Linked DNA regions of Caenorhabditis elegans. The protein of the gene in region 1 interacts with the protein of each later gene in a pairwise test. Each region holds a gene or a part of one and is shown on either strand. Other genes may lie near its edges.

What was found.
Region 2: the proteins of R02F11.1 (region 1) and asp-5 interact in a two-hybrid assay, tested with the Caenorhabditis elegans proteins (one large-scale study listed by BioGRID).
Region 3: the proteins of R02F11.1 (region 1) and txt-6 interact in a two-hybrid assay, tested with the Caenorhabditis elegans proteins (one large-scale study listed by BioGRID).

The regions. Positions count from the first base shown.
Region 1 is NC_003283.11:4,799,489-4,803,191, forward strand, and holds R02F11.1 (CC domain-containing protein), read left to right. Parts: upstream 1-1,605; 5' UTR 1,606-1,659; coding exon 1,660-1,741; intron 1,742-1,785; coding exon 1,786-1,953; intron 1,954-2,641; coding exon 2,642-2,922; 3' UTR 2,923-3,196; downstream 3,197-3,703. Other genes in the region: R02F11.3 (Cation efflux protein cytoplasmic domain-containing protein), read right to left, coding at 3,432-3,593.
Region 2 is NC_003283.11:8,270,472-8,274,544, forward strand, and holds asp-5 (Peptidase A1 domain-containing protein), read left to right. Parts: upstream 1-1,913; 5' UTR 1,914-1,915; coding exon 1,916-2,229; intron 2,230-2,275; coding exon 2,276-2,489; intron 2,490-2,781; coding exon 2,782-3,159; intron 3,160-3,241; coding exon 3,242-3,517; 3' UTR 3,518-3,573; downstream 3,574-4,073. Other genes in the region: asp-12 (Peptidase A1 domain-containing protein), read left to right, coding at 174-487, 536-749, 802-1,179, 1,256-1,537.
Region 3 is NC_003283.11:4,604,504-4,608,684, reverse strand, and holds txt-6 (transcellular chaperone signaling (x)cross tissue), read left to right. Parts: upstream 1-1,756; 5' UTR 1,757-1,771; coding exon 1,772-1,919; intron 1,920-2,536; coding exon 2,537-2,655; intron 2,656-3,131; coding exon 3,132-3,266; intron 3,267-3,325; coding exon 3,326-3,598; 3' UTR 3,599-3,681; downstream 3,682-4,181. Other genes in the region: Y61A9LA.10 (Bms1-type G domain-containing protein), read left to right, coding at 1-154, 1,345-1,473.

The DNA.
Region 1 (3,703 bases):
AATATGTACGGCAATTAAAACTGAGCTTTTTCTGCGTATCTAAAGGTCAGACACAGCAGTCCAGCTCCAATTTAAGCCTTGTTCGAGCCGGGGACTGTGACCAATAGTCCAGTCGTGGATTGCTCTACTTCCCACTTAAGGCTGGATGGACCTAGTGGGAGGTAGGACTTGAACTGGTGACCTCTAGATTGCTGGCGGCCACCACTGGTTCATTGTGTCCGGACCTCGATCGCGATGTCTCCACTGAGACATTATGCGTACATCTTAAGTTGTTCGAAGACTCTCGCATGACTTCCATGTTTCTTGTTCCAATAATTCCCAGACGTCACAAAGCATATTCCACGTGTTTTTTTTAAACCGCGTTTGGACGAGTGTTGGGAAAAAAAGAGAGTTGTGCTCTCATAATGGAGGTGTATTATGTGCTCACTTTCTCTCTGAGAAGTTGCCTCTTCAAGGATGATGGCTTCCCGTCTCCGGCCGTGGTCTACACCACCCGCGTGTGTTGCATCCCAAAACCGGATACTCTTACCTGCCGGTCAGTTGGCCCGGCAGCTCTCGCTGTCTCTCTGACGCCACCGCTGCCACTCGAGTGCACCGAGTATAAAGAGCACAGTGCTCCGACACTTTAGAGTCAAATTTTCTTCCGATGGCAAATCGGCTACTCACACATCAGGAACAGATTTTGCTCTGTTCTCTGTTTTTAAGATTTTCTAGACACCGTAGTTTCCCTATTAGACATGCAACCCTTGCTCTATTTTGTTATATCTCTGTTCCCTTCGGTTCTATCAAAAAACTGTCATTAACTGACAAAACACGTGCAAAATATTTATCTACAGTTAGACAGTAAACGCCGCTTAAGTAGATCAATGAGTTTCATGTCCAATATGCTAAATACGGTAGGAATCATTTTTTCAACTATTCTAATTTTTCTTGTAGCATTAAAAAAACTATCAACTAACATCCTAACTACTATTTAAGTATCAAGCATTGCAAAAATTTAAAGAAGCAAAAGGCTCTTACTATTAGAAAGCTATATGTTTTCCATTGACCACAGACTCCGGGCTTTTCATAAAAACCTTAGCAATCCGAATATAATTGGAAAGTTTCTATATATGCTTCAACCGTGATAAGATAAGTTGAACGACATTTTGACAAGCGCGCGCTCACAATCTTTTGGTGTATGTGTGTGTGTGTGTGTGGGGTCACTCAAGTATTTGAACATCAATCGTCCACTTCATTTTACAAACACATAGACTGGACTGAGCCCGATGGGGGAAATGAGAGAGTTTCGTGCCGCGCGCAAAGAGCACGTCGCCGCGCGGAGGCGCCAGAGTCTAAGCTAACACAGAAAGTCGGAGGGAGACGAAAAAGAGAAGACGGTCAGTTAGTGTCCCCTCCCCTCTCTCCTCACTGTTACGTACAAATGACCATTTAGTCTTGCTGCTCCATCGGGCTTCTCCTTGAGAACAAATCTTCAGATTTATTTTTGAGTTACCTTACTCTACCTACTAATTTTACAGTTTTACTTACATATTACTCTTTATTATTTATCTGAATCTTTATTAGTTTCCTGATATAATATTATTATTATTATTAAAATTTCAGGCCAGCGCAGGGTCAGGTGTTCCTACTTGTCTTAAAACCTTCAAATAACTCATTATGAAGCAACTCGCCATCTCCTTCTGCATTATCCTCCCCCTCGCCTGCTTCTGGGTACTGAACGCAGAAGACGCGAAAGAAGGTATGTTGTCACTCACTCTTCAACTCCTAAAATCCGACTTTCAGCTCCAGAAATTCGTGAAGCCAACTCCACAGTATTCCGTCAGAAGAGGCAGTTTGGATGCCCATCCAATTGCTATTCCTCATGCAGTTCCTCGTCCCAGTGCCAGAGATATTCTGTCGCATCTGTCTGTGTCCAAGGATGCTGTTGCCCAGGAAACAATAACCTTGATAGTAAGTTTTTTTAATATGAAGGTTGTGTAGGAAGTTGAAAAATTGCTTTTTTTCATAAATCAGAGATGTTAAAGAAAACGTCGCAATTATTAAAAACTAGGAGCGGGGATAGCTCAGTCGGTAGTATTGATAATTAGCAATCTAGAGGTCACGAGTTCAAGTCCTGGCTTCCCTAGGTTCAGTGTACCCAGATCCGTTCATATCGCTTAAGTAACGCATCGTCCTTTAACCCTTTAGTAAGGAATATGAGATAAAAGTTGAATGCTGACACCTTTAAAATTTAGATCTCCCTTAGTTCAAACCTCAAACCTTATCAAAATCATATCAAGAGATATCAAGAATCCAGTCACCGTTCCAATTTCTCAAGTGTCCCCGCCGTTCCCTTCCGGTTCGAGCAAACACACACACTGATTACCTAATGATTGCTACAACTCCCGGGGAGACGCTGCTTAGTCCCTTTTGCGGTGATGGAGACACCTTCTTATACGGCTCAACATAAATACAAAATATTTGCGAAGTTTCGCGGGGTGTTTGCGTTTGCTCGGTGCGTGCTGCTGTGCTCTGTGTCTCACGAAGTCGGCGCGGTTTGGACAACACGCACGAACCTATCTTTTTCTATCTTTAGCTCGTATCAGAACGAGTTCAAATATGGGTGTGGAAAGTCGTCTAATTCCAACAAAAATTTCAGCCGCCTGCTCCGGAGGACCAGCCGTCGCCGCCTGCCTCGGAGGACTCTGCGGACAAGGATTCTTCTGCTCGAGCAACAACTACTGCTGCAGATGCCAATCCGGAAACAGCACGGGACCATGTGTAAACCAGGTCTGCCCAACCGGATTCATGTGCAACACCAACAACTACTGTTGCCCACTCGGATCCGGAGGAGTCCTCGGATCATGTGTCAACGGAGTCTGCCCAACTGGATACACCTGTGGAGCTGGAAACTTGTGCTATTTGAGCAGTGGAAAGTAAAAAAATGGAATTCAATTTTTCCCTTTTTTCATGCGACAAATTGCCCCCAGTCTTTCTATATTTTTATATATTTTTTTAATATATTGTACTTTCCTTCTCCGTTCTCTGACTCTCTGCTCCTTTTAAATTATTCTAATCTATTTGAAACGAATCGTTCCCACCACCAAGACAACAACATCAACAACAAACGAAATCCCAAAAAAATATTTGAATTGTTTTTAAATTTAATTTGTTTATTTATTATTTTATTTTAATTAATGAAATAAAAAAAGAAACATTTGACACTCTACGACGATATGTGAGAAAAAATATTATAGTTTGCAAATCAAAATTTTCAAAATTTCAAACAAAAAAAAGTATAGTTAATTATGCGAAAAAAAAACATTGAGAGATGCTGATGATTTCTGTCATGAAACCGGAAAAATATGAAATAAAACTTAAAGTAGGGGGGCACTGGGAAGAAGAAAAAAACAAAATCATAATGCAAATGTGCTCTAATAATAACTAATTCAAACAATTTTATGCTCGTCGTGAGGATGATGATCATAATCATAGTCTGTATGAACAAATGCACGTTCAACTTCCGGCAAGCTTTCGATGTTTGATTGGAGGGTCTCACTGATGTCATGGGATTCTTTGAGGATCATATTCTCGTCGAGCACAATGTGCACCTGGAAATATTACAGATTTTAGAGTAGCACAATAATTCAGTTGTAAGCTCAGCCTCTTCAGAAATGTGCGATACGGGCTTATGTTAGGCCTAGGTGTAGGTTTAGGCCTA
Region 2 (4,073 bases), 3.5 Mb from region 1:
CAGTCTCGCACAAAAGTCAACCTAAATGATATTGTATTTCAAACAGTTGTTCGTTGAAAAACTAGTAGAATCAAGAAACAAACATGATTTCAACCAAAATTAATGAAACCTCTTTTATTTCAAAACACAACACGCACTGAAAACATCGAAATATTCAATAAATCTTTTCAGAAATGAAGACAACTCTTCTCGCTTTTGTAGCCATTCTTGGCATGTGCTCGGCAACTGTGGTTCAGCATAAATTGATCTATCGGGAATCGCCAAAGATGCAAATGATGAGGCGAGGAGAATGGGGAGCATACGTTCAACACAAGGCTGCCCTACGTGACGCCAATCCAGCTGTGTTCGCCAGTGCTCCACAAAATGTCAATGATTTTGGAGATGTTGAATACCTAGGAAATATCACGATTGGAACTCCTCCACAACAGTTTATTGTCGTCTTGGATACTGGTTCTGCGAATCTCTGGGTTCCAGGAAGTAACTGCGAGTCAGTAGCCACCTTACACAATGGTTTTTAAATTTTTATCATTTTCAGTGGAACATGCAAAGGAAAGAGCGAGTTTGACTCATCTAAATCTACAACATTCAAGAAAAACGGACAATCATGGCAAATTCAATACGAATCTGGAAGCGCTAAGGGAATCATGGGAGTAGATACTGTTGCTTTTGGTGGTGCTTCAGAACAACAACTTCTTGTCCCATCTACCACTTTCGGTATTGCCTCTCACATTTCGTCTAACTTTAAGAATGTAAGATCTATTTCCCAGATTATTTGATTCTTCATCGGAACGAAACTTTCAGGACGCTGCTGAAGGAATTCTCGGGCTTGCCTTCACATCTCTTGCAGTCGACGGAGTTACCCCACCACTGATCAACGCCATCAACAAGAAAATTCTCGATCAACCTCTGTTCACAGTCTTTTTAGAACATAAGGGAACGGCAAAGAATGTTGGAGGAGGTGTCTTCACCTACGGAGCCGTTGACACTACCAACTGCGGACCAGTGATTGCCTATCAACCACTTTCATCTGCCACGTATTATCAGTTTGTTGCTGATGGATTTAAGCTCGGATCATACTCAAACAATAAGAAATCTCAAGTGATTTCCGACACTGGAAGTTCGCTCATCGGAGGACCAAGTGCTGTGATAAATGGCTTCGCTCAAGCTTTGGGAGCAAAAGTGAGTATCAGTTTAATTTTGACTCGTTGTGAGGGACAAACAGTTTTTTTAATCTTTATATCTAAACCTTTTCCAGTACCACAGCGATGATGATGCTTACTACCTCCCATGCTCAACATCTAAGGGAACTTTGGACATTACTATCGGAGGAAATGTGTATTCTATTGAACCTGTCAACTATATCCTTGATGTTGGAATGGGTGACACTTGTGTCTTTGCTGCTTTCTCATTCGATTTCGGAGGATTCGGACCATCATGGATTTTCGGAGATCCTTTCATCCGTCAATACTGCAACATCTATGACATCGGACAACAGCGCATTGGTTTTGCCAAGTCTCTCCAGCCTTCTTCAAAATAAACTCTATGCAATGCGATTGTGAGAAATGAAAATGAATACTTCAATTTACTTTTCTTCAGTGTGTGATCTACGTGATTATGGTCAAAAGTCCAACTTATACATATCGTCATGTACACCTTATTTCTTTTTTCATTTTCTGGACAATTTTGTGAAGTGAAAACCCACGTCACAGACCGTTATCTGATTGAGTATAAATGATAAGAAATCATTGTCAACTCAAATAAAATAGGAATTTGTTAACTTGTAGTACGAATTCTCCTTATTCTTATCTATTTCATAGACTGAGCTGTTTCATTCGTATTACCTTTTTTCTGTGTTTTGTCAGCTTTTCCTACTATTTATAATTTAATGTTAACTTTCACGACCATTTTTCCAGGTATGAAGACCACTTTCGTAGCACTAGTTGCCCTTTTGGGCCTGTGCTCGGCAACCGTTGTCCAGCACAAGCTGATCTACCGTGAATCTATCAAGATGCAAATGATGAGACGTGGAGAATGGGGAGCATACGTCCAACACAAAGCTGCTCTTCGTGACGCTGACCCAGCTGTGTATGCCAATGCTCCACAAAACGTCAACGACTTTGGAGATTTCGAGTATCTCGGAAACATCACCATCGGAACTCCACCACAGCCATTCCTCGTTGTTTTGGACACCGGATCTTCAAACCTCTGGGTTCCAGGACCATCTTGCGAGTGAGTAAATCCTTGTTGTTTTTGATTTTTGATAATTATTTTCCAGTGGATCCTGCAAAGGAAAGAGAGAGTACCAATCAACAAAGTCCTCGACTTTCAAGGCCAACGGAAAGCCATGGCAGATTCAATACGGATCTGGAAACGCCAAGGGATACTTGGGAGAGGATACCGTTGCCTTTGGAGCCGTCACCGAGAAACAACTCCCAGTTCCATCTACCACTTTTGGAATTGCCACACACATTTCATCCGACTTCAAGAATGTAAGTTTATAGTGTAACAAGAACTAATGTATATTTCAAGTATCCGAAAATCTATTTTAACACATGTTTTTTTCCTTCTGTTTTTTTCATTTTCTGTAATTAGAAGGACAGAAAAATGTAAAGCAAACAGCTTTTTAGTGCCGATTTTTATGACGATGACTTTAAGAATGCATTTTTACGATCATTATCAGTTCAAACACAGTGGCAAAATTTAGGAATGCAAAAATTTATTGCAGCTAAAGTGCTTCTACTCACATGGAATAGTACACAGTGGGAATATTTTCTCTTTCAGGATGCCGCTGAGGGAATCCTCGGACTTGCTTTCACATCCCTCGCTGTCGACCATGTCGTTCCACCACTCATCAACGCTATCAACCAAGGACTTCTCGATCAACCACTTTTCACCGTGTGGCTTGAGCACAAGGGATCTGCCAACGATGTTGGAGGAGGTGTCTTCACCTACGGAGCAGTTGATACTACCAACTGCGGACCAGTGATTGCCTACCAACCACTTTCATCTGCCACATACTATCAATTCGTCGCTGATTCATTCAAGCTTGGATCCTATTCAAACTCTAAGAAATACCAAGTTATCTCCGACACTGGAACTTCCTTCCTCGGAGGACCAAAGGCTGTTGTTGCCGGGCTCGCTAGTGCTCTTGGAGCTACTGTAAGTTGTTGTTTGAGATTCCCGTAACTAAACATATTTTTATAAGTAAGAAGACATAAAAGAACAATTCCCATTCTTTCAGTACCACAGCAACGACGACTCCTACTATGTTCCATGCGCCACCAACATCGGAACCTTGGACATTACCATCGGAGGAAAGGTCTACTCAATTAACCCAGTCAACTACATCGTTGACGTTGGAATGGGAGACACCTGCGTCTTCGCTGCCTTCGCTTTTAACAACTTCGGATTCGGACCAGCTTGGATTCTCGGAGATCCATTCATCCGTCAATTCTGTAATATTTACGATATTGGAGGACAACGTATGGGATTCGCCAACTCCCTTCAGGCCAATTAGTTCTTCAAAACTTTTTTCTTGCGTGTTTAGAAAGAAATAAAGTTCATTGATGCCTATCAGATGTATTCTAGTTAGAAAGCTTCTAAAAAGTTCAATAAGAACATTTCTGTCACTTTCTTATTGATAAGCTTTTGATCAGTAATTTCCGATTCATTTTGTCGTAAGTACCACGGTACAAGACGTTTATTGGCTATTTCTATATTCAATTTTTATTTTATATTTTACATCACATGGTTCTGAAGCAGCTGTTTTTAAACATGACCTAGTTTTCCGAGAGTCAAAAAAAGTTGAAAATCTTCGACGTGGATCTTTTTTTGAAAATCAAGCTCTAGTGCCTCAAGACGTTCAAGATTTTCAAGACTCTGAATATATTGGGATAATCACTATTGGAAAGCCCTACCAATTGTTTAAAGTAGCAATTCAGACGGGGACATCTACATTGTGGATTCCAGCACCTGACAGCGAGTTGGTTTCGGTACCTTTTCGATTTTTAAAGAGCATCTTCTAATTTCTAGCACGTCGTGTAACGGTAAAACGCATTTCAACCCGAAAATAT
Region 3 (4,181 bases), 200 kb from region 1:
GGATTCACTTGTTGCACGGCATACGGCAGTGGTGTTGGAACCGGAAGAGGCGAAACGAGAGAGATTTATGGATATGTTGAGAACGTTGAATGATGTTGATTTGAAGAAGCAGGAGAATATTAAGGAAGGATATAAGAAGAGAAAGGCTGAAGAGGTGTTGCTTTTTTTTTGCAGGAAATTTTGAATATTTGCAAGAAAAATAAAAAATTGAACAAATTTTTTAATGCTAAAAATTACAGGTTTAGATTTTTCACAAAAAAAACAAATTAAAAAATTTTTTTCTATGTTTTCAATAAAAATCGAACAAATTTGGTTTTTTTTTTGAATATTTTATAGAAATATTTAGTTTTTCAAAAAACAAAAAATTCTTCGATTTTCAAAATACCGTTTTTCAAAAAAAAAATCGAAAAATTGAACAAATTTAGTTTTTTGAATTTTTTATTGATTTTTGATATTCAAAAAAAAATTGTTTCTCGTTTTTCAATTTGAAGAAAATTAAAAATTTAACAATTCGTTTTTTTACGATATTCAAAAAATTAATTGTTCTATTTTCATTTAAAAGTCTAACAATTTTCGTTTTTTTTTCCATTTTAAACTAATAATCGTAAACTTTTTGTCTTTAATTAGAAAAAAAAACAAAAAAATTTCGTTTTTGATTTAAAAAAAAAATCTAAAATTAATCGTTTTTCAAAAAAAGTTTTTTCCGAAAAATCGAAATATTTGCAATTTAAAAAAAAGAAAACAACGAATTGAACAAATTTTTTAATGCTAAAATTACAAATTTTGATTGTTCCAAATTTTCGACTTTTAGAAAAAAAACTCGAAAATTTTCGATAAAAAAAAGAAAATAGATCGGTTTGTTTAATTTTCAAAGGATTACAAAAATAATTTCGACTTTCATTTTAATAAATCCACCAATTTTCGTGATTCGATTTTCAACAAATATTCGTATTTTTTTCGTTTTTAATTTAATTTAAGTATAAAAAATTGAAAATTTTCGATTTTCTATTAAAAAAAAATCGAAAAGTGTATCGATTTTAGATTTAACGAAAACTTTTCAAGAAAAAATCGAAAATGTTTTGTTTCTCAATTTTTTTCAAATTACAAAGGAAACATTTTTGTTTTTAAAAAATCGTTGAAATTCCCGATTGGTCGAAAAATATTCTTCAAGACATTTTTAAAAACCATATTTCTAGAAAACTAATTTATAAAATATATAAACAAACATTGATAAAACATGGAATTTTTGCTAATTTTCAAAAAAAATCCGATTTTCTTAGAATAAAACTTTTTAAAAAAGGTTAAAAACTTTATTTCAAATTTTAACTTTTTTGAAAATTCCAGATGGCCGAAAGTGAGGCAAAACGCGAAAAGAGCATTAAATCTCGAAAGAAGGACATCAGCAGAGTCTTATCGAAGAAGGAACAAGCAAAACTTCGAAAGGCTCTTGGCTCATCGGCGAGCAGCTCCTGAAGCTCTGGAATCTGGAATTTATCTGCTAAATTGTTAATTTTTATTTTTGAAAATTTTTTGTTTCTTTGTTTTTTGGTTTTTGTTGTTTTACTGTTTTACTCCATCATCATCGTTTTTTGTTAATTGTTCCTTCTTAATTTTTCTCTAAAAATTAAAAATTAAGTTTTTTCTCTATTTTCTTGCATATTTTAGAAGTACTCGCGTCAAAACTATTTATTTTTTAAAGTATTTTTTCCAAATTTCTCTGCCTAAATTAATATATGCTCACACCTAAATGCTCTCTAGATTCTCGCGGAAAATGATTGGTTTAGAGGCGTGGTTTGCCAACTTTTCACAAATTTCCAGTCGATGGATCACAGCTCAATCACTGGCTGATATCCCGAGGCCACACGTGGAATATGCGATTTTCGCGACTTTCAAGGCTGCCGAAGTGATGAGTGTGATAGGTAAAATGGCAACTTTTCACGGAAAAAATTGATTTTTTTTCCAGAAAATTAAAAAAAAGATTTTACTTCAAAAAAAATATTTAAAAAATTCGAAAAAAATATATTTTTTCAGATAGAATATTAACAAAGGTTTTTGTGCCAGAAATAATAGACAAATAAATTTTTTTGTGAAAAAATATTAAAGCATTTATTTTTCTCAGCAAAAAGATTTTATTTCCAGAAAAAGATTAAAAACTTAAATTTTTTTCAGAAAAAAATCGAGAAAAAATGATTTTTTTTTCAGGGATAATTTAAAAAAAAGGATTTTCCGCAGAAAGAATATATTAAAATTGATTTTTTACAGAAAAAAATAACTTCTGTGTAGAAAAAATCGAAAAAAAAAAGAAAATAAAATTACAAAAATTGGAATTTTTCAAAAAAAAAAAAGATTTTCTTTTCAAAAAAAAAAGAAAAAATTGTAGGCTATGTTTCAAAAAACAATATTTTTATTTTCATTTAAAATTATTTTAAAACTAATTTTGTTCATTTTTCTGGAAAAAAATTAGGAAACCCTATTATTTAAAAAAAAAATTTCCGAAAAACTTCGTCGTTTTTTATTTGAAAATCACTAAATACAGTTTCAGGTGGTCTTGTTGCACATCCTCTCTATCGTTGGTATCTTTCGAGAAAATTGAATCCGAAATTGATGACGCCAAATTCGGAAAAAATCATCAAAAATGCTTGCAGGAAATTGCAGGTGAATTCGAAAAAACTGGTTTTTCTGGGAAAAAAAAGAAAAATAGCTAAAAACTTTTTTATAAAATTCCCAGTTTTTTCGGTTAATATTTTGGCCAAAATTGCACTATTTTTTGCTCTTTTTTTTTTCGAAAAAAAGCGAATAATTGTTCTCCAAAAACACGAAAAAAATTGTTTTTTTGAAAGAAAAAATTCAATATTCAAACCTATTTAAAATGGAACAAAAACGTAAAATTTAAGAATTTTCCTGTAAAAAAAAACAAGAAATATACATTAAAATAAATAAATAAATAAATAAAAAACTTTAATAATTTGACTAAAATTGTGCTATTTTTATAATATCGAGTGTAATTTTTTTGGAAAAAAAAGTAAATTTATGAGTTTTTCAGTAAATCGCTTTTTTTTGTGGTTTTTGAAAATAATTCAAAATTTGCAAATTAATGACGTCATTTGTCTCCAAAAAATAATTTTTTCCAGGGTCGCTTCCTCATCGCCGGGCTCATCACTGCTCCATTTCTAAGTCGTCTCGAGACCCATTTATCTGGAACAACTGACAGTGAATTGAAGAATAGATGTTATTCGATCAGATGTAACGCTGAGACTCTTTCACTAGTAATTGCCTCATAATTTTACTTCCAAAACTCAAAATTTACTAATCATTTTTTTTTCAGGATCGCGCCGTCCTCGTGTGCGGATTCATCGGATGGTACTGGCGCCGATTCCAGGGAGCCGTTGACGGTGTTAACATTGGAATTGCCTACGCAATGGTTAATAGCCAATTTATTGCTCCACGCACGTCACCAGTGCTCAAAAATAGTATTGATGAGTCGGAACGGTTTGAGACAGTCGAAGAGATGGAGGAGTCGAAGACAAAGCTCAATAAATTCTTGGCAGAACAAGACAGGAAGGATGCTGAAGTGAAAGTTCTCGATGTTAAAGACTAATTTTTCGCTGATTTTCTGTTTTATTACTACATAGGCCTTTTCTATTGCTGAAATTGAGATTAGAATAAACCTTTTTTGACTTATTTCACTGCTACTTGCCGACTGAATTCACAAAAATCTATGCTCTCTTTTTTTGTTTGAAATTTAGTTCAGTGACATACAATTTCGAAAATATAATCTGTTTTTTCAGACATGGCTCTGAGACAACACAAACTTATAAATAATTACGAACATTATATTTTCGAAATTGTATGTCACTGAACTAAATTTCAAACAAAAAAATTGAGTATAGATTTGTCAAAAACCGAATTTCTACGAGCTTTTTATAATTTTCGAAAAAAAATCTGTTTTTTCAGACATGGCTCTGAGACAACACAAACTTATAAATAATACCGAACATTATATTTTCGAAATTGTATGTCACTGAACTAAATTTCAAACAAAAAAATTGAGTATAGATTTGTCAAAAACCGAATTTCTACGAGCTTTTTATAATTTTCGAAAAAAAATCTGTTTTTTCAGACATGGCTCTGAGACAACACAAACTTGTTAATAATTACGAACATTATATTTTCGAAATTGT